Drosophila melanogaster: one gene and its partners. The protein of the gene in region 2 purifies or fractionates together with the protein of the main gene of each other region. This does not show direct contact. Each region holds a gene or a part of one and is shown on either strand. Other genes may lie near its edges.

The links.
Region 1: the proteins of CG2004 (region 2) and CG8993 purify together in Drosophila melanogaster (affinity purification with mass spectrometry, with the first as the bait; one large-scale study listed by BioGRID). This does not show direct contact.
Region 3: the proteins of CG2004 (region 2) and CG7054 purify together in Drosophila melanogaster (affinity purification with mass spectrometry, with the first as the bait; one large-scale study listed by BioGRID). This does not show direct contact.

Annotation. Positions count from the first base shown.
Region 1 is NT_037436.4:2,370,687-2,375,899, reverse strand, and holds CG8993 (uncharacterized protein), read right to left. Parts: upstream 3,702-5,213; 5' UTR 3,619-3,701; coding exon 3,437-3,618; intron 3,375-3,436; coding exon 3,128-3,374; 3' UTR 3,024-3,127; downstream 1-3,023. Other genes in the region: CG9004 (uncharacterized protein), read right to left, coding at 1-1,171, 1,225-2,104; mRpL23 (mitochondrial ribosomal protein L23), read left to right, coding at 2,478-2,771, 2,833-2,991; CG1317 (uncharacterized protein), read left to right, coding at 4,238-5,213.
Region 2 is NC_004354.4:8,709,877-8,719,422, forward strand, and holds CG2004 (uncharacterized protein), read right to left. Parts: upstream 5,049-9,546; 5' UTR 4,600-5,048; exon of another isoform or gene 4,530-4,599; intron 4,298-4,529; exon of another isoform or gene 4,260-4,297; 5' UTR 4,193-4,259; coding exon 3,723-4,192; intron 3,530-3,722; coding exon 2,722-3,529; 3' UTR 2,596-2,721; downstream 1-2,595. Other genes in the region: Hexo2 (hexosaminidase 2), read left to right, coding at 1-81, 699-2,236, 2,307-2,488; CG1785 (uncharacterized protein), read left to right, coding at 5,153-5,280, 5,346-5,519, 5,576-5,896, 5,959-6,375, 6,438-6,834; l(1)G0020 (lethal (1) G0020), read right to left, coding at 6,944-7,070, 7,211-8,180, 8,241-9,519.
Region 3 is NT_033777.3:22,463,206-22,468,961, reverse strand, and holds CG7054 (uncharacterized protein), read right to left. Parts: upstream 3,978-5,756; 5' UTR 3,688-3,977; coding exon 3,287-3,687; intron 3,226-3,286; coding exon 3,087-3,225; 3' UTR 3,024-3,086; downstream 1-3,023. Other genes in the region: CG5377 (uncharacterized protein), read left to right, coding at 980-1,816; Pebp1 (Phosphatidylethanolamine-binding protein 1), read right to left, coding at 2,341-2,871; AP-2mu (adaptor protein complex 2, mu subunit), read right to left, coding at 4,922-5,619, 5,676-5,756.

The sequences.
Region 1 (5,213 bases), on a different chromosome or scaffold from region 2:
GCCACCGCTCGCTGGTCCTTCAGAGACAAATGCAGAATCTTCTCAAAGGCGTCCACATAATCGGCGGCGCTCATGATGATGCAGAAGATATTCCTCCTTTCGGCTGTGTTCATCTGCTGCTTTCTGGCCAGCTCCAGTAGCTGATCCGCAAAACCTCCGTTGGCAGACTTCGATGAGTTCTTATCCTGCTTTTGCTTGGCGGATCCCATCTCATCCAGATTTCCCGTCCAGGCAGAGCCCACAATCCACCATTTGCCCACTTTATCAGCACGCAGGAGGTCCTCCAGGGTTATGTTCAGAGTCACCACGTAGCGATCATTCTTCAGCATGGCCTTCAAACGCTTTCGCAGATTCTCCGCCAACTCGGGATCATACTGCGGCAGCTTTTGCATATTGTTGTTTTTGACTGCATTTAGAATATCGACCATGAAACGCAGGCGTGGATTCTCTTTCAGTTCCAGTGGGGCACTAGCAATTTGCGATTGAACTTTTTGCATCATGGTCTTAAAGGCCAGTGGATCGTCCTTGCGCAGCCGGAAGCCAATGGACTGGAAGATCAGCAAAAGGCACTCCACGCTCTTCTCGCAAAGCTGATCTGACAATTTGCCTATGAGCTCCATCAGCAAATTCAGCTCGTAGATCTTGAAGAGGTACATGTAGCAGAGCACCAGTACTAGGTTATTCAGCTGCTTATCCTCCACCTCCAGGGTAGCGATGTTCTTGACATAACCATCGAATAACTCCACAAAAGTCTGCAGGAAATGCGCTCCAATCTCGCTGCCAACCTGGGCATGTAGGTAGGCCAGCAGCACCATGTGTTCCTGTACCATTCGCTCGTTGGTTCGCGTGTAGCCGAGAAGGGCTTCTTGAATTAACTTGGTTAGTGTTTCGTTCATGTTGTAGCGGGAGTTTTTCATGTACAGCTCCTCGATGCCGGCGGCAATCTTGTGCAGATTCGCTTCTGACAAACGATTGAGCAGACCCTTGCATTGCTTTAGAAGGCGAGCTAGTATCTCTGCCTGTTTTTCACTTGATCCCGCGCTGGCTGCCATCAAAGCTCGCTGATGTGGCGGTATGTACTTTTGACCGGCGGCTGAGGCCTCGAGCTCCACGGGATCAGGCAGGATGTTTCCCTCGGCGTCGCGTTTGCGTCCGTAGATGTCCTCTTTAACTGTAATTAATTCGTTAATTAAATGAAAAACTCTAAACGATGAATGTACTCACTCTTAGGTGCATTCTCTTCCTGCTCCGAATCCTCCTCGCTTTGTTCTTCCTCTCCAGTTAGGTCTTCATCATCATCTTCACCCTCAGAGCCACTGTCATCTTCTGAGAAGTTATCCATGGGCTCATCCCTGTCCTCCTTATCCTCTTCCTCATCGCTCCACATTCCCGCCTCCTCCTTTTCTTGCTGCTCCTTCAGCTTTTTCTTACGTTCCTGCTTCTCCTCCCACTTCCGCTTCTCCTCCTCGTCATCCAGGACAAAGTCAAGCAGGTAGTCCAGGCCATCATTGAACATCTTCCGCACCAAGCGGTTTTTGTCCTTGGATTTGTTGAGCTTCAGCTTCTTTTCCAGCTTGTTGATCTCGCGATCATCCTCCTCGTTCTCTATGCGAAGTTGCTTGATTCGCTGCTTCTTGGACTTGCTCTCCAGTTCCTTTTGCTGGCGCAGTTCCTTCCGCCTGACCGCCTCTTCATCCTGTCTTTGGATGGCGCCTCCTGTCGTTTTCTTGACCTTTTTTCCCAGAGGTTCATAGACTTCCATCTTTTCCCTTGCGGGCAGCAGAGCATCCACCTCCGCATCGCTGAAATCCGAATCTATGGACTCGTCATCGTCGCTGTCTATTTCACCGGACAAAAGTTGCTCCTTGGGTATTTCATCTGGATTTATTATTTTGGGCTTCTTGCTCCGTTTCTTCTTCTTGTTTTTGCCCAGCTGCGACTGCGCTGCCAACGCCTCTGCCGCCGCCGCCACGCGCTGTGTTCCGTTAGTTTTGCCGGCGAAATAAAGTCGTTTATTCTGTTTTTTGAACTCCGACTTCTGTTTTCTCTGCTCCTTGCGAGTCAAAGGTTTAGCTTTCGCCTCCTTTTTCTTTATTTTTGCCATTTTAAACGGCCTTTACCAGAGATTTCAGCCGGACCGAATTTAAAAATTGTTGTGGTTGACAATCAGCTGTTTAAAACAAGTGTTGGACAACCCACGTGCTTTTACACGGGTGTAGGTAACAGTTCTTTGAGAGGAATCTAGATTTAGTGATATTATTTTTTAAAAGTGGTAAAAGTGTGGAATATTTTATAGTTACAGCGTAATAACTTAAATTAATATATACGTTAAGTTTTAGTTAACAATCTTATGCGACCCCCTTGCTACGCCTGTGTCCGCCCGAAACCTTTGGCCTTTTTTAGTGCATTTCATAAACGCACAACAATTAATTTAATTTTTGTATTCTTGAATTAGAATCTTAGATCCTGGCTAGATCATGTCCACGAGGTGGTATCCCATCTATCAGCGCGGCAATCCGCAGCTTCGCGTTTTCCTTCCCAACTTCTGGATGAAGCTAATCCGACCCACGGAGGAACAGCCACCCAATGTGGTCACTTTTTCGGTGTCCATGGAAATGACCAAGTACGATGTGCGTAACTATCTGGAGAAGATCTACAAGCTGCCGGTGGTGGATGTGCGTACTCGGATTGCCATGGGCGAGACCAAGAAGGATCAGACCTACGGCTACATCACCAAAAAAGACGACGTGAAGCTGGCTTATGTAACATTGGTATGGCCCACTACAAGCCCCTGATTCAATGGATATTTCCAATGATATTTGTGTATTCCAGCCCAGGGAGGAGTCCTTTGTCTTCCCCGACTTCTTTTCCGAAAAGGCTGAGAAGCAGGCCAAGGAGGAAAAGTCGCTGGATGAATCGAAAGCCGGTTTCCGCAGATTTCTGGACAGGAACAAGAAGCGACCCGGCACGCCGGGCTGGTTTTCCATTTAGTTTTTAGTGTGTAATCGTAGTACTTTTCGTTTCAACGGGTAAATAAACATTTATTTCGAAAGTCCGAATTAACCTAAAGCTCAGCTTTATTTGCGAGGAGGTCAACCTCCACTTTTTTTTTGGGATTTCTCAATTATTACTTGGCCTGTTTGACGGCGGCGGCAACCCAGGCCCGGATTTTGTCCTCGTCCTGGAGTCCCACCATGCGCTGCACCTCCTTGCCGTTCTGCAGCACCACTAGCACGGGCACGGCGGCCACATCGTAGTCCAGAGCCAGTTCGCTGTGCTCATCTATGTCCACCTTGGCCAGCTTGATGGAACCGGCCTGTTCGCCCACAATACTCTCGATGCGCGGGGTTAGCAGCTTGCAGGGATTGCACCAGCTGGTGGATTACAATATAAACATTAATTTGCCATGTCCTCAAATTGAAAATATAAAAATTACGTTGCGAAGAAGTCCACAATCACGGGCTGCTGGCTGTTCTTTACTTTCTTGTCAAAGTCCTCGGCGCTCTGGACTTTGAAGATCTCCTGTCGCGGCGCAGAAACTGACAGCATGCGAATTTGCTGGCCGCTAGCCAGGCGACGCGTCGTCTGTCCCAGAATGTTAATAATCTGTCGCTGCATGGCTTATTTTCTACAATTTCTCAGTGCAAAAAGTTCAGCGATTGATTGCAAAATAATGACAAGAGAATCAGAACAACAACAATGAGTGTGGTGGGGTTGCCAGATGGATTGGTATTGCCTAATGATGTGTGCACACACTGTTTCATTAACTGTTACTTCCCGGTCATGATAATTTTGTTTTATATTATTTAAGTTAAAAACTTATATTTATTAACCATAACTATGTAATCTTTTTTAATTTTCAATTTATGATTAAAAAATGAATAACGATATTTCGTTCTCTCAATCTATCGAACTAGTTGGCATCTCCGTTGAGAAAATAATCAGCAATTTCATGGTGTGCACACATTGGCTCTCCTTTTTTTGAGAAGTAGTCTTGTTTTGTTTTGTCGTAATAATATCCCAACTTTTCGGTTAAAATTCAAGTGTTACAATCGCATTACGGTCCGTAATCATCGAAAGGTTAATTGGCGCACATAAAAGGCGGGTATAATCGTCTTAAAACCCCCGTACCCTCGGGTCAATTACGGAAATTGTCCAGCGAATTTCGCAAATGACCAGTGGAACTTTAGTAATTCAGTCAAACTGAAGACCCAGGATCCGGGAAAAAGTTATCAGTATGGACGACCTGTCGCAGGGCGACATTTGCCGCGTGTGCAGATGCGAGGCACAGCCGGATAGGCCTCTTTTCTACCCGTGCATCTGCACTGGATCGATCAAGTACATTCATCAGGACTGCCTGATGTTATGGATGCGCTACTCGCACAAGGAATACTGCGAGCTGTGCAGCTACAGCTTCAGCTTTCAGCCCATCTATGCTCCGGATATGCCGCGAGTCCTGCCGATAAAGGATGTCCTTGTGGGACTGATGTCCGCCGTTTTGGAGGGCGCTCGCTGCTGGCTTCATTACACCCTGGTCGGTTTGGCCTGGTTCGGAGTGGTGCCGCTGTCTGCCTACAGGACCTATCGGTACCTCTTCCGGGCGAGCTCCTTCGATATGATTCTCACGCTGCCCTTTGACATCTTCTCCGTTGAAAACCTGGCATCGGATGCCTTTCGGGGCTGTTTTGTGGTCACATGCACACTTTTGTCCTTCATAGGATTGGTCTGGCTGCGCGAGCAGATCCTGCATGGCGGCGGACCCGATTGGCTGGAGCGGGACGATGCCCCTCTACAGGCAGCGGCTGCTAATCCTGCGCCTGATCCCGCCGCCGAGGCAGCTCCACAGCCTCAGGACGACAACAACAATGCCGACGACAATGAAGCGCCGGCTCCAGCGGACAACGATGGGCAGGATGCCCAGGCCCAGGATGCCGCACCAGCGGCTGCAGCTCCCGTCGTGGACGCCGATGCCGATGAGCAGAATTGGAATCCCATGGAGTGGGATCGGGCTGCCGAGGAGCTTACCTGGGAACGCCTGCTCGGACTCGATGGCTCGCTAGTTTTTCTGGAGCACGTCTTCTGGATCATCTCACTGAACACCATGTTCATCTTCACCTTCGCCTTTTGTCCCTACTGCGTGGGCAACTTCATTCTGAGCTCCATGGATCTTTTGCAGCCCGAGAAACCACTGCTACACTTTCACGGCCTGATTA
Region 2 (9,546 bases):
CCTATTATCCTTCGCGGTCGGCGCTGCGCTGACGCGGGCAGATGACGTCGGCAGCGACGCCGACGCCGGCAGCGCCAGCAGGTTTGTGTCTTTGCTTCATAAAGGAAATCAGTGCAACAAGTGCAAGTTTTTTTTTAAATACATGTTTTGTTTTGGAAGTATAACAATTTTTGCTAACAAAATGCAGTGAAAATACAAAAAACTGACTGTTCTTTATTTTCAATGAAATTTCAAGTGTTATATGCGCTCAGCAGACTAGTGAAAAAAAGTCCAAAAAGTCCACTACTTTTAAATATATTAAAGGAAATCTATTCATTCTACAAAAGAGAACTTTAAAAAACTGCCAACGGATAACAAATGGTTGGTGTCTATGCTCAGCAGGATATCCAATATCTCCTCAAATAACTGAGAGCAACAAGTGAAATCAGTCTTAAAAACTAGAAAATAAAACAAACAGAAGAAAACAGGTGAAAATTTAACTGTGCCAAATGCATTTACATGTTAATTTGCATTCGCTCCAAGTGCAATTTTCGTAAAGGGAACAAGTGCAAAAGGCAAAGCGACAGAATAAGAACTACTTTCTATGCAGCTGCATATATTATTGAAAAGAATTTGCAATAAATAAAGTGAAATCTGCTTTATGTATCTAAATATATATGTACTTAGCTTTATTATAGCAATATCTTCCGAATTTCCAGGAAATGGCTGTGCAGCCGGACGGATATCTGCACCGCGGAGGGCGAGATGGTGGCCGGACTGCAGTACGCGCCGGAGATCTTCGAGAGCCAGCGGGATTGCCGACTGTCGTGCGGCAAGTACGGAGCCATCTGGCCCATGCCCACCGGCAAGGAGTGCACCATATCGCACAGGCGGGTACGATTCGATCCGTGGAAGGTGCGTTTCCATGTTGTGGCGCCCGGCGAGGCGGCCACCCAGTTTCTCAGGGAGACGAACCGGCTGTTCGTCTCGAATCTGCTGAAGGAGTGCATACGAAACTGCACGCTGGAGACCAGCAAGCAGATTCTGGTCAGATCCACGGTGGCCAACGAGAGCCTCGTTCTGGACTGGCCCACCGACGAGAGCTACGCCCTGGTGGTGCGAACCACTGAAACGGCCACCTTTGTGGACATCCAAGCGACGACGGTGTACGGTGCACGTCATGCCTTCGAGACGCTGAGCAACCTGGTCACCGGCAGCCTGTCCAATGGCCTGCTGATGGTCACCACGGCCAACATCACCGATCGTCCGGCCTTTTCGCATCGCGGCGTCCTTCTGGATACGGCCCGTAACTTTGTGCCGCTCAAGTTTATACGCAGCACCTTGGATGCGATGGCGGCCAGTAAGCTGAATGTGCTCCACTGGCATGTGGTGGACACGCACAGTTTTCCGCTGGAGATCACCAGGGTGCCGGAGATGCAGCGTTACGGAGCGTACTCCTCATCGCAGACGTACTCGCGCCAGGATGCACTGAATCTTGTGAAATATGCCCGACTGCGGGGCATACGGATACTGATCGAGATCGATGGACCCTCGCATGCGGGCAATGGCTGGCAATGGGGTCCTGCCGCCGGACTGGGCAACATGTCCGTGTGCCTGAATCAATCGCCCTGGAGGAGATTCTGTGTACAGCCACCGTGCGGCCAACTGAATCCCCTGAACGATCATATGTACGCAGTGCTCAAGGAGATCTTCGAGGACGTAGCCGAGGTGGGCGCTCCCGAGGAGACCCTGCACATGGGCGGCGACGAGGTGTTCCTTCCCTGCTGGAATAACACCGACGAGATTCGGGATGGGATGCGGGCACGTGGCTACGATCTCAGCGAGCAGAGCTTCCTGCGGCTGTGGTCGCAATTCCATCAGCGGAACCTCAATGCATGGGACGAGATTAACGAGCGTATGTATCCGGGCATCAAGGAGCCGAAGTCGGTGATCATCTGGTCCAGTCACCTCACCAATCCCCGGTACATCGAGACCTACCTGCCCAAGGAGCGGTTCATAATCCAGACATGGGTGGAGTCACAGGATGCCCTCAATCGGGAGCTATTGCAGCGAGGCTACCGACTGATTGTGTCCACGAAGAATGCCTGGTACCTGGATCACGGCTTCTGGGGCAGCACATCGTACTACAACTGGCGCACCGTGTACTCCAGTGGCATGCCCGTTGGTCGCAGCAAGGATCAGGTTCTCGGCGGTGAGGTGTGCATGTGGAGCGAGTATGTGGATCAGAACTCACTGGGTATGTAAACGCTAGGGAACCAAACGGTGAACCAAACCCATTTAATTAAACCCAATCCAATCCCCTACAGAATCCCGAATCTGGCCGCGAGCTGGAGCAGCAGCCGAGCGAATGTGGTCAAATCCAAAGTCTTCAGCCCTGTTGGCCCAAAGAAGATTCTACCGCTACCGGGAGCGACTCCTGGCGCGCGGAATCCATGCGGATGCAGTTATTCCGCACTGGTGCGTCCTCCACGAAGGACAGTGCCTCTAAATCGGTCGTTCCGAACCTAGTTTTAGCACCAGCACATACCATGTACATACCTTTCAAACTATGTTATTTTATTCATCAGTTATTGCCCATAAAGATCTGTTTTTAATCCAATCCAAAATGTGTTTATAATATGCTTTTAATTATCTGGAGTTACGTTTTGTACATTATATGGGTTACAATTACGAAATACCCAATACTATATGAATTCGATTTTATCATAGAAATTAATGAGCTCACTTAATGTAGCCCTGATCGATGGCGTGCTTGAAGATATCAGCCAGTCGCTGCTGCTTGGCGGACTCCTTGAAGGGTGTGATATTCCAGATGTCGGTGAGAATGGCGTTCTCCTTGATTCCATCCAGATCGGCCACCTCATCGTCCTCCATCATCGTCATCGGCAGCGATTCGATGCCCATGCCGCAACCAAAGCGACCAAAGTTCTTTAGCTCCTCTTGCAGTGATTCCCAGGAGATGATAGACTCTGCATTGCCACCGAGATCCTGAATCAAATCCTGGGCGCTCTCCAGGTAGGCGCGGAGCAGCTCATCGTAGTGCTGTTCCCTCAGCTCCTGGCTAGTGCAGGAATAGATGAAGAAGCTCAGGTCGAGGGCCAAGGAGGAGCACCTGGCCAACTGGAAATCAATGATGATGATCTCCTCCGATTGTCCCCGTTCGTTGTACTTGGTCAGAAAGTTGGGCGTCCAGCAATCGCCGTGCCCGAAGACACTCAACTTGGAGCGAGTGGACACCAGATTGATCAGATCATCGAACAGCGGCGGCTGCAGGAAGTTTGTGGCCACAGTCTCGTATTTGCTATTCGGATAGATCTGCTTGACGGCGTCCGTGGCCACATTCTCCGCCAGCAGGAGGAAGCCCGTGTACCACTCGCGGGTGTGTTCGCCATAGTAGGTCTCCTCCAGCGAACCAGCAGCCTTCTCGAAGTTCTTGCTATCCAGGGCATTGAAGGCCAGGGCCACGCCATGGAAACGACCCAGGGTCCGCATCGTCAGCAGGGCATCTTCCAGCGAAATGTAGTCTTGACTGCAAGGTAAGGTAAGGTAATTGAAGTAAATGTAGTTGTATAATTTATAATCAATAAGGGTTAATGGTATTAATGGTAGATATTGAAATAATCTATTGTATGGGAAGTCGACAGATAGTGTAGTTACACTTATTTATAGAAAGCTGATTTCATACGAAAGGGGTGGAGGAGGAGGAGGAGGAATAAACTAACCGTACAGGTGCCCTGTAGCCCCTGGGACCCACATCCTCCAGGGCGATGAAATCGTTGACGCCATCGCACAGGCTGGCCAGGCAGCGGGGGTACTCCACGAAGGGCTTCTTAGGCGCGGGCTGGCGGGACTTCTGGAATGCCTCGATGGCCGGCAACACCTTGGTGTAGAAGTTGATCTCGTTGCGGAAGAATATCACCGAACGGAAGAGTCGCCGACGGTGCAGATTGTCGGGCATGGCCTTCACGATCACACTGATCTCTAGTTGCTTCTCATCCTGGCCCTCTTCCGCCTCCTTGACGCCGTAGATGGTGATGCGGAAGACACGGCTCAGATAGGCGTCGCCCTTCTTGCCACTTGGGCCAAATTTGTACGAGGTGTGCCGGGTGCCGCCCGCGTTTCGGATGATCTCGTCCAGCGTCGCCTCCGAGAATTTGGCCGAAATGTCCGCGAAGCTGGGAAAGGTGCTCATCGTGGTGGTGTCCAAAGTGTGTCTGTCGCTGCCGGAGATCGCGATCTGCTATTTGTAACGAGTTAAACTATTTCAGCGCGGCGATAACACGGCGTAATCGGTGAAAAACAAAAATAGAAAAAAAGAAAATAGCAATTGGAAAAAAAACGTGAGCAGGCTGCTTGCTGATGCTTGAATACCCTCGCATTTATATGATTATCTTTTTAATTAATTATTAATTAATACTGCCTTAAGAGCTATAGGATATAGACATTAGATCGTTCGGAATGTCTAAGTGATCACACCCTTTGCAAGAGTATCCAAATACAAATAAAAATAAGCGGACAAGTTTGTTTACCGCGTTTTGTTTGGTACACGTCAGCCGCGTCTACGCCTCCGTCGCAGTCGACGTCGCTGCTCTCACTTACCGGCGTTTTTCACACTTTACACACGTGCGTGAGTTTTCGGTGACGTTTATGGTTTTGCCCTTTTGACCGCCAGCTCGTCGCAAGTGCTACTGATTTTGATTCGGATCGCGGGTGGCTATAAATTCGAAATGAATTACAATGCACAGCAGCAGCAGCTCAGTTGGTCACGCACACAAATGTAGGCACATGCACGCACACAGGTGTTTTGAATCCGAGTGAAGGCAGGGTTAGAGATGCGCAAGCCAGTTTCCAGCTGGTAAAGAGCTAGCGTCGCTTTTAAGCTACTTTCCTGTTGCTCCATTGATAGAAATTAATCCAAGCTATTAAAACCAAATGCATATAGTAATAGTTTAATTCATATTTATATATAGAGTTCCAACTCTAGTTTTGTAGCTTAGCACACTTGATTTTTGCCATCTCTAAGCAGCTGACAGCAACTAGCTGCCAGTGTTGGCAAACGACGCCAAACGTGCTGGAAAGCCTGTGCAGATTGCACGTGTGCCGCTCAACATTTGTTTTTTGTACTTTGATAATTTCCAAATAATCCGGAGAAATGACGGCCGTAGAGCCAGCGACAAAGAAGAAGCGCATCTCGAAGAAGAACAAATCGGCATGGCGCAAAACAGACATCCAGGATGTCGAGCAGTTCCTCGAAGATCAGCGCCAGGAGGAGCGCGTTGGGTGAGTTAGCGGGTAAACAATGTGGCCATCCGGAATCATTCATTTGCGTACTGCGCTTATTACAGAACGTTCGCGGATAAACAGGATGAGGATCTGTTCGTTGTGGACTCCAGCCTCCCGAAGACCAAGGCCACCGTTCTGAGTGTGAAGCAAAAGCGGAAGCTGAATGCCAAGAAGCCCATGCGCAGTTACCAGGCTTTGGAGAACACATCCAAAGTCCAAGATCCCATTGCCAAGCGGTGAGTTTGCAGCATATCCCTGACAGGCGATCTCATTTATCTTGAAATCCCTGCAGCAACCATGTGCGCCAGAAGAAGAACGGACGTAACATCGAGCTGGAGGTGTGCAATCCAACCAAGCCGCGCCATCGCCAGGCCAACAGCGATCGAGCTCAGTACTACGTAAAACTGGAACAGCGTCTGGCCGACAAGAAGAACAAGAAGCTTGATGTCGAGAAGGACATCTGGCAGGAGGTGGATTTTCGCGACGAGATTCCTGGACTCAAGGACGAGAAGGGTTGGATCAGTCGCGAACTGGCACTGCACACAGCTGGAAATATTGGCAAGAAGGTGGTGAAAACTCACGCTAGTCTGCACCACAAAACCACCAAAGCCAAGTGAGCACACTTTGCTGGGCCTTAAGCAGTCGGGTTATTATTGATTGTAATATGTCTTTTAGGAAATTCGAACTCCCGCATCCGGGCATGAGCTACAATCCCGCACCCGAGGATCATCAGGCGCTTATTGATCAGGTGGTGGAACGCGAGGAGGGCATCATTAAGAAGGAACAGCACCTTAAGCGCGTGACCACCAGCATGTTCTCCAAGGTGACGCCCGAGGAGAGAGATCGTCGTCGCCTAAATGAAATGAGCCAAGGCATGGACGAGGAGGAGGGTAGTGAGCTCGATGAGGATGTCCAAACGAATGGGAAGAAAAAGGAGGACGATGATGAAAAGCCATATCACACAATCAACGCTCCCGTGGAGAACAAAAAGAAGAGCAAGCAGGCTCGCCGCAACGAGCTCAAGCAAAAGGAGCTGGCGCGTCAAACAGAGCTCAAGAGGAAGCTCAAGCAACAGACGGCTGACCTGATACGGTAAGTTTCTAACTGATGGCGTTGTGGTCCATCTCTAATCTCTATTGTGTTTCTTCATTCAGCATCAAATCGATTCGCCACGAGCTAGACGATGAGGAGGAGGACCTGAATGATCTAAAGAAGCGCCGCAAGCAGCGCGCCGAGAAGGCCAAGTTTGAGCCGAAACGCCTGGGGCGTCACAAGTTCGAGGAGCCAGACCTAGACGTAAATCTGCCCGAGGATATCGCCGGAAATCTGCGCAACGTGAAGACTGAGAGCAGTCTGCTGAAGGACCGCTTCCACACGCTGCAACGCAACAATATGTTGCCCACGACAAAGCTCGTCAGCCGCAAGAAGTCCAAGGTCAAGCGCTTCGAGCGCAACTCCCACAAGGAGCCGGGCGTTAGCTATAATGACCTCAAGGAACGGCGCAGGGCGGCCGCCGCTGCAGCCAAGGCTACTGCCAATATCAAGATATAGTTCAGTTATTAGGTCTCTTTATTTTTAACGGAGCTTACAACAATATGTACTTTTCTATAGAATTAAAATCCACATTCTTTTTCCCCCCAAACGAAAAAAATTATGAACTCTAGATCAGGGACTTGCCCTGACTGCGTCTCTGTTTCGGATTGTTCTTCTTTTTCTTCTTGGACAGCGGAGCTGCCAGGTCGCCATCCTCACGCGTCTCGATTGGTCCATCCAGTCGCTTTACGCCACTGAAACGAAAGAGAGGCAAATACGAAATAAGTTATATTTTTTTTAACTGAGTGATGTTTATAATAAAACGAAACTGGAGACAAATAAATAAACGTGGTTATGTATTAAGCACATTATTAAAAAAAATAGGCGCACCTACCTCTTGACGGAGAGCAGCCCGCTGCCACCGCCTGTTCCGTTTGTTTCCAGCGCCTTGGACCAATCCTCTTCGGTGCCCTTGATTTGGAATTCGTCCAGCTGCTCGGCCTTCAGGCGCTTCAGCTCCTTGCGCTGCTGCTTGCTCAGCTTCTGAGCGGTTTGATCCAGCTCCTTGTCGAGGGACAGAGTCAGCGGTTGCAGTTCCTCGCCCTTGGACAGATCCGCCTCCCGCAGCATGCCGCCTTCGATATGCTCCTCCAGTACCGACCGGAAGCACTGATTGCACCGTTTCATGGCATCGAAAAATTTCGCCAACAACTGGTTACCCGGCATATTCAGCTCCAGACCCAACGCATCCACAGTCTTGCCCTGCACGCCCAGAGCCAAAAGGATGCCCTGCTGCACCAGGTCAAGCTGCAGACCATCGATCCTGCCCTGAAAATACAGCTGGGCAATGTCCGTGAGCAGATCGATGATTAGACGAAACTCGGACTGCTGGCGGGCGTAGCTCTCCAAGCGCTGCAGATCGTGCGGCAAGAAGTAAACATCCAGCATTGGCTTATCGAGTACTTTCAGTGCACTACCTTCCGTGTCCACGGACTTGTTCTTCAGCAAGGCCAAACAGAGTTTCGTCTCGAATTCCCTGAACGTCTTTCCCATCAACTTGAGGACTCTCCTGCGGAAGTCCTGGTAGTACAGGCCCAGCCAGGGCGTGGCATTGGGCGTGTGCAGCATAATGCAGCTATGCTCGGCGGTCAGTTCGTTAGATTTCTGGCTCAAATAGACGGGCACAAAGCCGGCGTTCTTCCAGAACTTCAGCAGCTCGGTGGTGAGGCCATAGGATGTGCCAATATAGTCCACGTGTTCCGGGACACGTTCGTGCAAGCGCTGCAGAAGTGTGGGTATACGACTACGTGGCCGGATTTGTTCCTTCAGCAGACTAAGTTCCTCCTCCTCCACTTCCTCGATACCTATGCAAAATTTAAAGTATTATGTAGTGCATAATAAACCATTGGCGTGCGTGCACTCACCTTTACCAGCATCCTTGCTGGCAACTGGACCGTCCTCCAGATTAGTGTGCTTCCTTGCATAGTAGTCCTTGAGCAGCTGAATGGCCCGCTTGCCATAGCCCATCCTCTGGTAATTCGGATGCGTGGCTACCCTCACAATGCGAACGCCACACAGCTTGGGAAAATCTCGATCGCCATACTGCTCGGCTACGTTCCAGGGAATCAGATCGCCCGCCGCCTTCTTGCCCCTGCCCAGGGAATCGCTGATGCTCTGGGCGGAGATCTGACCCTCCAGTGCCACTTGGATAACCACCAATATCTCTGGCAGGGCGTCCATTCGCTGAACCGGACCCAGTAGACAGAATAGATGATGCGCCGGGGCATCGCTCATCATCTGCAAATCGTTTGGTGTGTTCTTGTAGTGCGAGGACACATAAATGGAGACCAGGCGATGGAGAAAGGCCTCGGCAGCCTTGTGATACGAAAACAGGGCGTCCCTGTCCACATAGTACAGTTCACAAGCATCCGGCGTGGGACAGCCCGAGCTAATACTCGGCACCGTACTGGCATCCAAGCACAGCAGGTTGATCAGCCACTTTTCTATGTCGTCGTTCTCCTGATACCGAATCGATTCCTCCAGTTTCAGTGGCGGCCTTGCATTGTTATCCTTTTGCAGCTGGGAAATGAGCTTCAAGCTCAGCGATCTGCCAGTGCCCTCGTATCCATTTATCGTACTGGCCATGAATACCAAATACGGACCGATCATCTTCTTTACCAGCGGCAAAGGAATGGCAGCCGCCTCATCGATCAGCAGAAGATCGGCTGCGTTCAGCAGATGAGTATCGCTGGGAGCTATGTACTGAATGGTCTGCCTGCTGCTTCTCGTAATATTTATTCTTATTATCGCCTTTTTGTAGTCGGCATTGGTGGAGCGTATAATGGTGTAGTCAGCATGCTCCTGGTACTCCAAGGCATCGAAGCCCTTGAGCACAAATTCAAAGAGCGTGATTAAGTTCTCCGGATGCGGTGAGGTAACGTAGATGTTCACATAGCCAAAGGCGACGGCGGCGGCAATCGACAGACCCAGGGCGGCCGATTTACCACGACCACGAGCCGCTGTTAAGGACATGGGCGGCTTCAGTTGCTTGTCGACCAGCGCCTCAATGAACTGGGCAACGGCATTGGCCTGATCGTAGGTCTTGCAGAGATTAACCAGAGCTCCTGCTGGTTGAACTGTGAGCAGGCTCTCCTTCAGCTCCTTGAGGCTAGCCTCGTTGGGCGATCGACCGGCGCCTGCGGGCTGAAAGTTTAGAAACAAATGGTATTA
Region 3 (5,756 bases), on a different chromosome or scaffold from region 2:
CACACTCACACACACCAACTCAAGCTGACACCCCCCCGGGCTCACTATCTCCGAGACGACCCGTGTAAATTCCTTGACATTTACTACGCAACTTCGACATCTCGGAGTCGAATTCGATTTGCATTTGCATTGGCAGTGGAATGTGATGTCCCTTACTCTCGATTGTGGGTGTATGTCCTGCCTCTGTCAAATCCCATCACCCTGCTCCTTCGTCCTAGGAGAGCAATTGCAAGGCCGTCGCCTCCATTAATCGTCGTCGCAGTCCAGGCGAACACATTAATTTGAGCACACGAATCACGCACTGACCATTACAGCAGGGACCAGGATCCTGCTATTAAGCACTTACGGTTTTTAATAATATTTTAACGCACGCTAAAGGCTAAACAAATGCCAGCACGTGCTGTCCATTGTCCTTCGGAGTCGTGACGTTCAAGTGGACTAACAAGGACTAAGATTGGGAATGCCAAAAGCTGGGGGAAGAGCGAAAAGCTTAAAATCAAACTGAGCGGCAGCTCTTGAACTTTCAAGGGCTTTTAAACTACCATTATTTTAAAATCTGTGGAGAGTTCGGCATTGTCAAGTAATATTCTTCAAAATGAATGGAAAAATCTTTTAAATTTCAGGAACATTCTTAAAAATGCAAGTGCATCACCCAATGCCTAAATATCAATATGAAAATATTTTTCAAATTATTAAAAAATTAACGATTCTTTTAAAATTAGTTTTTTGGTATATTTACTTTTGATTTAACGGTATATGGCATCATCGCACCTACAGCCACACTAATTCGATCGTTTACTTACAGCTGTTCTTATCAATCAGCTGTTATCAACGGATCTTTATCAAGTGCACTTTACAAGGCGTCGTGTGTAAAGATTAGAATTTGCCAAATATTCCTCTCTGGACATCTGAAGAGCCCTTGAGAAGCAGCTAAGTTTGTTGCCATACTCCAAAATCCCCGTTAGATCCCGCTTACGTAATGCTGGGCAATCTGTGCCGGCTTGTGGGTGCCCGTTCCCCGATCACCAGGCGCTTGCTGCACACGGAGCGGAAAGTTCGTGTGAATGGCTCAGATTTGAACATTGTGGAGAGCGGCAGTGGGGAGCGGAGTCTACTCCTGATGCCGGGAGCACTGGGTTCCTCGTGGACCGACTTTAGGCCCCAGATCGAGCAGCTGCCGAAACTGCTGCCGGGTCACACCATCATCGCCTGGGATCCGCCGGGTTATGGCAAATCAGTGCCGCCGCAGCGCAAGTTCGGCCTTGAATTCTTTCGGGAGGATGCCCAGGCAGCCGTGGATTTGATGCGTGCCCTGGACAGACCACGCTTCTCCATTTTGGGCTGGAGCGATGGGGGCATCACGGCGCTCATAGTCGCAGGTCGCCATGCGGAAGCTGTGGATCGCCTAGCAATCTGGGGAGCAGGTGCCTACTTGAACGCTGACGAAGTCAAGGCTCTTAAGAACATTCGGGATGTGGCCAAGTGGTCGCCGCGCATGCGTGAGCCCATGGAAAAGGTTTACGGCGTCGAAAGATTCCCCCAATTGTGGGCCGAATGGGTGGACGCCGCATGCGCCTTCTATGACCAACGGGATGGAGACTTCTGTCGCACCGAAGTTGAGAAAATAAAGATACCTACTTTTATACTCCACGGAAAGAAGGATCCCATGATAGCAGCGGAGCACATTCCTTGGCTGAGGGAGCGTTTGCCTCATGCGGAATATTATGAGTTCCCCGAGGGGAAGCATAATATCCATTTACGTTATGCGGAGGAGTTTAACAAACTGGTGGCCGATTTCTTTAACAAAAATAACTAGATTAACCAATATATTTAAGCTTTCATGGATCCAAACTCATTACTTGTTTAACAATGGTAACTTGAAGTTGGATGGATATTCGTTATATGTGAAAGCAGTTATCAGAAATGAGCATGCAGGTGTTCAAAGTTCGAATTTTAAAAGGAAACTGATAGTTTTGATGAATCAAATTCATATCTAAGTTAAAGAATATTGTTATCTATTCAATGAATCATTTCGAAATAAATTGAAAAATAACCATATCTCCTAACTTAGCGAAAGGGAAATAAATGATTAATTATAAACATTTCTTTCTCTCGCTTTTATAAACTTAACTTCAAAGAAAGATATCAAAGCCTCGGGCAAGTTTAAATTAATTCCGGAAATGTTATCAAAAGTAATTCTTATAAAAATATACTTCAGCTGCTTATGGAAATCGCATAGCAAAAGACCCGCCCACAAGCATGTATGAGATAACTTTTATGAGAACTAGTACATATTTAATATTTATTATTTCACAGAGAGCTGATCAGTTGGTGGCCAGATTACTGGACCGTCTCGATGAGGGTCTTCACGTAGTCATCGTATTGGGCCTGGAAGAAGTTGCCGGCCACGGGACCGCCGAAGCTGTACTTCTGGATGTAGTCGCGGGCCTTGACGTTGATGCGGCCAGTGCGGCTGGTCTTGGACACGAACTTCTCGGTGGTGATCTTGTCGTTCTGCTTGAACACCAGGAAGACGTAGCGGTGCAGGCCGGTTCCCTCGCGGGGTCCAGCACCGATGTACTCGGCGATGGTCTGGCCCTCGGACACCTTGTTGCCGGGAATGTTGATCACCAGCCAGTGGAGCAGCTCACGGAACTTGGGGTCCTCGCGGCTGGGTGCGTCGGGGTCCACCAACAGGATGGTGTACAGGGAGTTGGGCTCGGCATCGAAGACGACAGTGGGCTGGTCCTTCACCTGAGTGGGAGTCAGCTCCTTGCCCAGCTCAACCTGAACGCCGGAAGGATAGGTGATGGTGGCCTTGGAGGCGGGCTTGACGTCGATGATGTCGGGAATAATGCCGGCGGTGTCCATGTTAGCTGGTAGTTCTGTTGCTTCTGCTCGGTGTAGCGTTAGCGAGTTGACTCTGGCCCGGATCCCTGATGTCTGGCCTTTTATCGACGGAGTCCGCCGCCTAATCAGTTCCGTGCACTTTTCAGTTAATACCCCAACGCATAGATAGCGAGATAAGCAATTGGTTAAACTTTATTGACGGGGAATTGAAAACCCTGCATGATATATGCACAAATCTAGCCTACGATCGTTTTATTCCGAATTGGCACATAGTCATCATACTGGGCCTGGTAATAATTGGCGGCAATGGGCTCGCCCAATCCATGTTTGGCGGCAAAGTCCCGGGCGTTGAAGTTCAAACGGCCTGTGCGAGTACTGTGAATGGGAATTGATCAGTGTCACAGTAAACTGATAAATATCTTAATATATATCATACGTATTGGATATAGTGGGCGTCTCCTCGATCTTGTTCTCCTGGCGATAGAGGAGGAAAATATACCGATGCAGGCCAGTGTCCTTGGGCGGTCCAGATCCAACGTAGTCCGCTAGGGAGTGGCCACCAGAAGGATTCTCATTGCTGCCGGGAATGTTGACCACAGACCAGTGCAGAATCTCACGGTACTTGGGATCTTGACGAGTCGGTGCATCGGGATCCACCATGAGCAGGGTCAATAGGTTGGACTTTCCCTCCAGCCCAGACCAGCTGACAATCGGTTGGTCCTTCACCTGGGTGGGGGTTAGCTCGTTGCCCTGCTTGACCTCCAAGTCATCGCCATAGATGACCTTAATGGTGCCAGCGGGAACCGCATCCAGCACATCGGGTACTATGTCATCCATGTTACGTGTAGCGTGTCAGCCCAAAAAGATGATAATACGGTTTTTTTTTCGTGGCGTTATCACTCTGCTGACCAAGCCAGCTGGGTGATAACAAAGCAAAAGCTTCACTCTGATTCAGCGGATATCTACGGATTTATTAAAATTTCCAGTCCAATTAATTAGTATCTGGATGGCGAAACCAGTCAAGGCTATCCAGCGCTGGCAACAGCTAACACCTAGAAATAATAGTTTAATGGACACAGCGGAATAAACTTTATCGCAGTGGGTGAACTGATTGGACAATGTTGATTTCTAGCGCCGATGGAAAATTGTGAAAAGCCCCTTCCACGATAAGCAAGCTTTTATGCCAACTGGCATTTTTAGGCCCTTTTTTGCTTTCCCAAAACGCAAAGATCACTTCCATTGGTGCGATGATTCATGGCTAGAAACTAGTTTTCACTTCGTTGAACATCATCAATAATTGTGACGTTAATTTCAGGATTTAGCTGATCTTGAACCAATGTGCACACGTGATAGCGAAGACAGCACTTGTGGGCTGATCATAAAGTTGTATATCACCCATTTATGAGGTTGTAATCGTACCTTTCCGTTCTATTGTTGGGCATATCAGTTCGATATAGGGAAAAGCCATATAACGATACCCTTTCACCAATGAGAAACACATCATTTTTAGTATATATCATGCTAATTTATTTATTAAACAATTCGAATATTATTAACACTTGAATATCAATATTGATAGCGCTGACAGAGTTTTGGTCTATTAAATACGCTTAGTTGCATTTATCGCCTTTGTTCTTTGCACAATGAAAATAATGATTAAATATACATATATATATATATTTATAATACGATAATACAAATAATAATTAGAGTTGTGAAACGTGAGCGTGAGATTTGTGAGACGTCCCGCGACGCATATAAAAACAACATAGTTTACATTTACATAGTAGGGTAAATCATAGTACCTAGTAGTGGTATGTCTATGGGGAACACGCCCCGCCCGCATAACCAGTGCTCGCGGAGGCAGTGTGTGCGGTATACGGCATAGGGTGTCCGGGGTGGATCCGCTACTCGGGCGTCCTCCGGACTTGCTGGAACTAATCTTGGAATACATAAGCTGCTGGTTCAATTTGATTGAGGAAATACCAATAGATGCGGTAACACTTTCTCCATTCATCTCGTTAAATTCAATTGTGATAATCTTGCTCCGTGATGGGGATGCTTGGGCGCCCTAGCAGCGCGTCTCATACAAGCCACTGCGTCCGATGTAGCGCACCCATTTGACCACATCGTGGTCGGAGTAGTTGAGCTTGGGCTCGAACACCTTCAGGTAGCGTACCTTGAAGCCGGACGGCGCGAATGGCACCTCAAAGTTCATGGAGATGGGCGGCCGAGTCCACTTCTTCTTGGTGTCCGTCTCCAAAAGTTCGATTTCCGCGGACAGCTGTGTCTCCTTCATGCCCGCCATGCGCTTAATCTTCCACACGATCGCGTTCTCCGAAGCCTTATATTTGGCTTTGCCCTTTAGGCAGATGAGCTGCACGCCCGATGTATTGAGCGGGGTTGGTATCTTCACCTCGATCTTTTGGCCCAGCAGTGAGGGCTTAAAGTTGGACTTCAGCACAACCTTAACCTCCATCTTGGTGCGGCCCACCTCCCGCACCAGCGGGATGACTCGGAATGGCAGCGAAATGTCTTTGGTGGTACGGTAACGCATCAGCTCGAACTCCCCGTCCGGCGGGATGAAGCTGATCGAATGCTCCGTCTCGAATTTGCTTAGCTTGACGCACTGATGGAACTGGCAGTCATCGATGACCACGACGGGCTTGCCGGAGCGTGAGGTTTCCGCCTCTGAATTTCCGGAGAGACCGCGTCCCTTAGACTCCATCACGATCTTGTCGTTAATCCCGAACTTGCACTCGGGCATGCCTACAACATGGCGATTATTAAAAGGAATAATGTCTAGATTATTTATGCTAACTTACCCGACAAATACGACTTCATTACCACCTTGCCGGCCACGTGGGCAGACAAAACCTGACCCTGCGGGCTCATCAGCAGGTTCA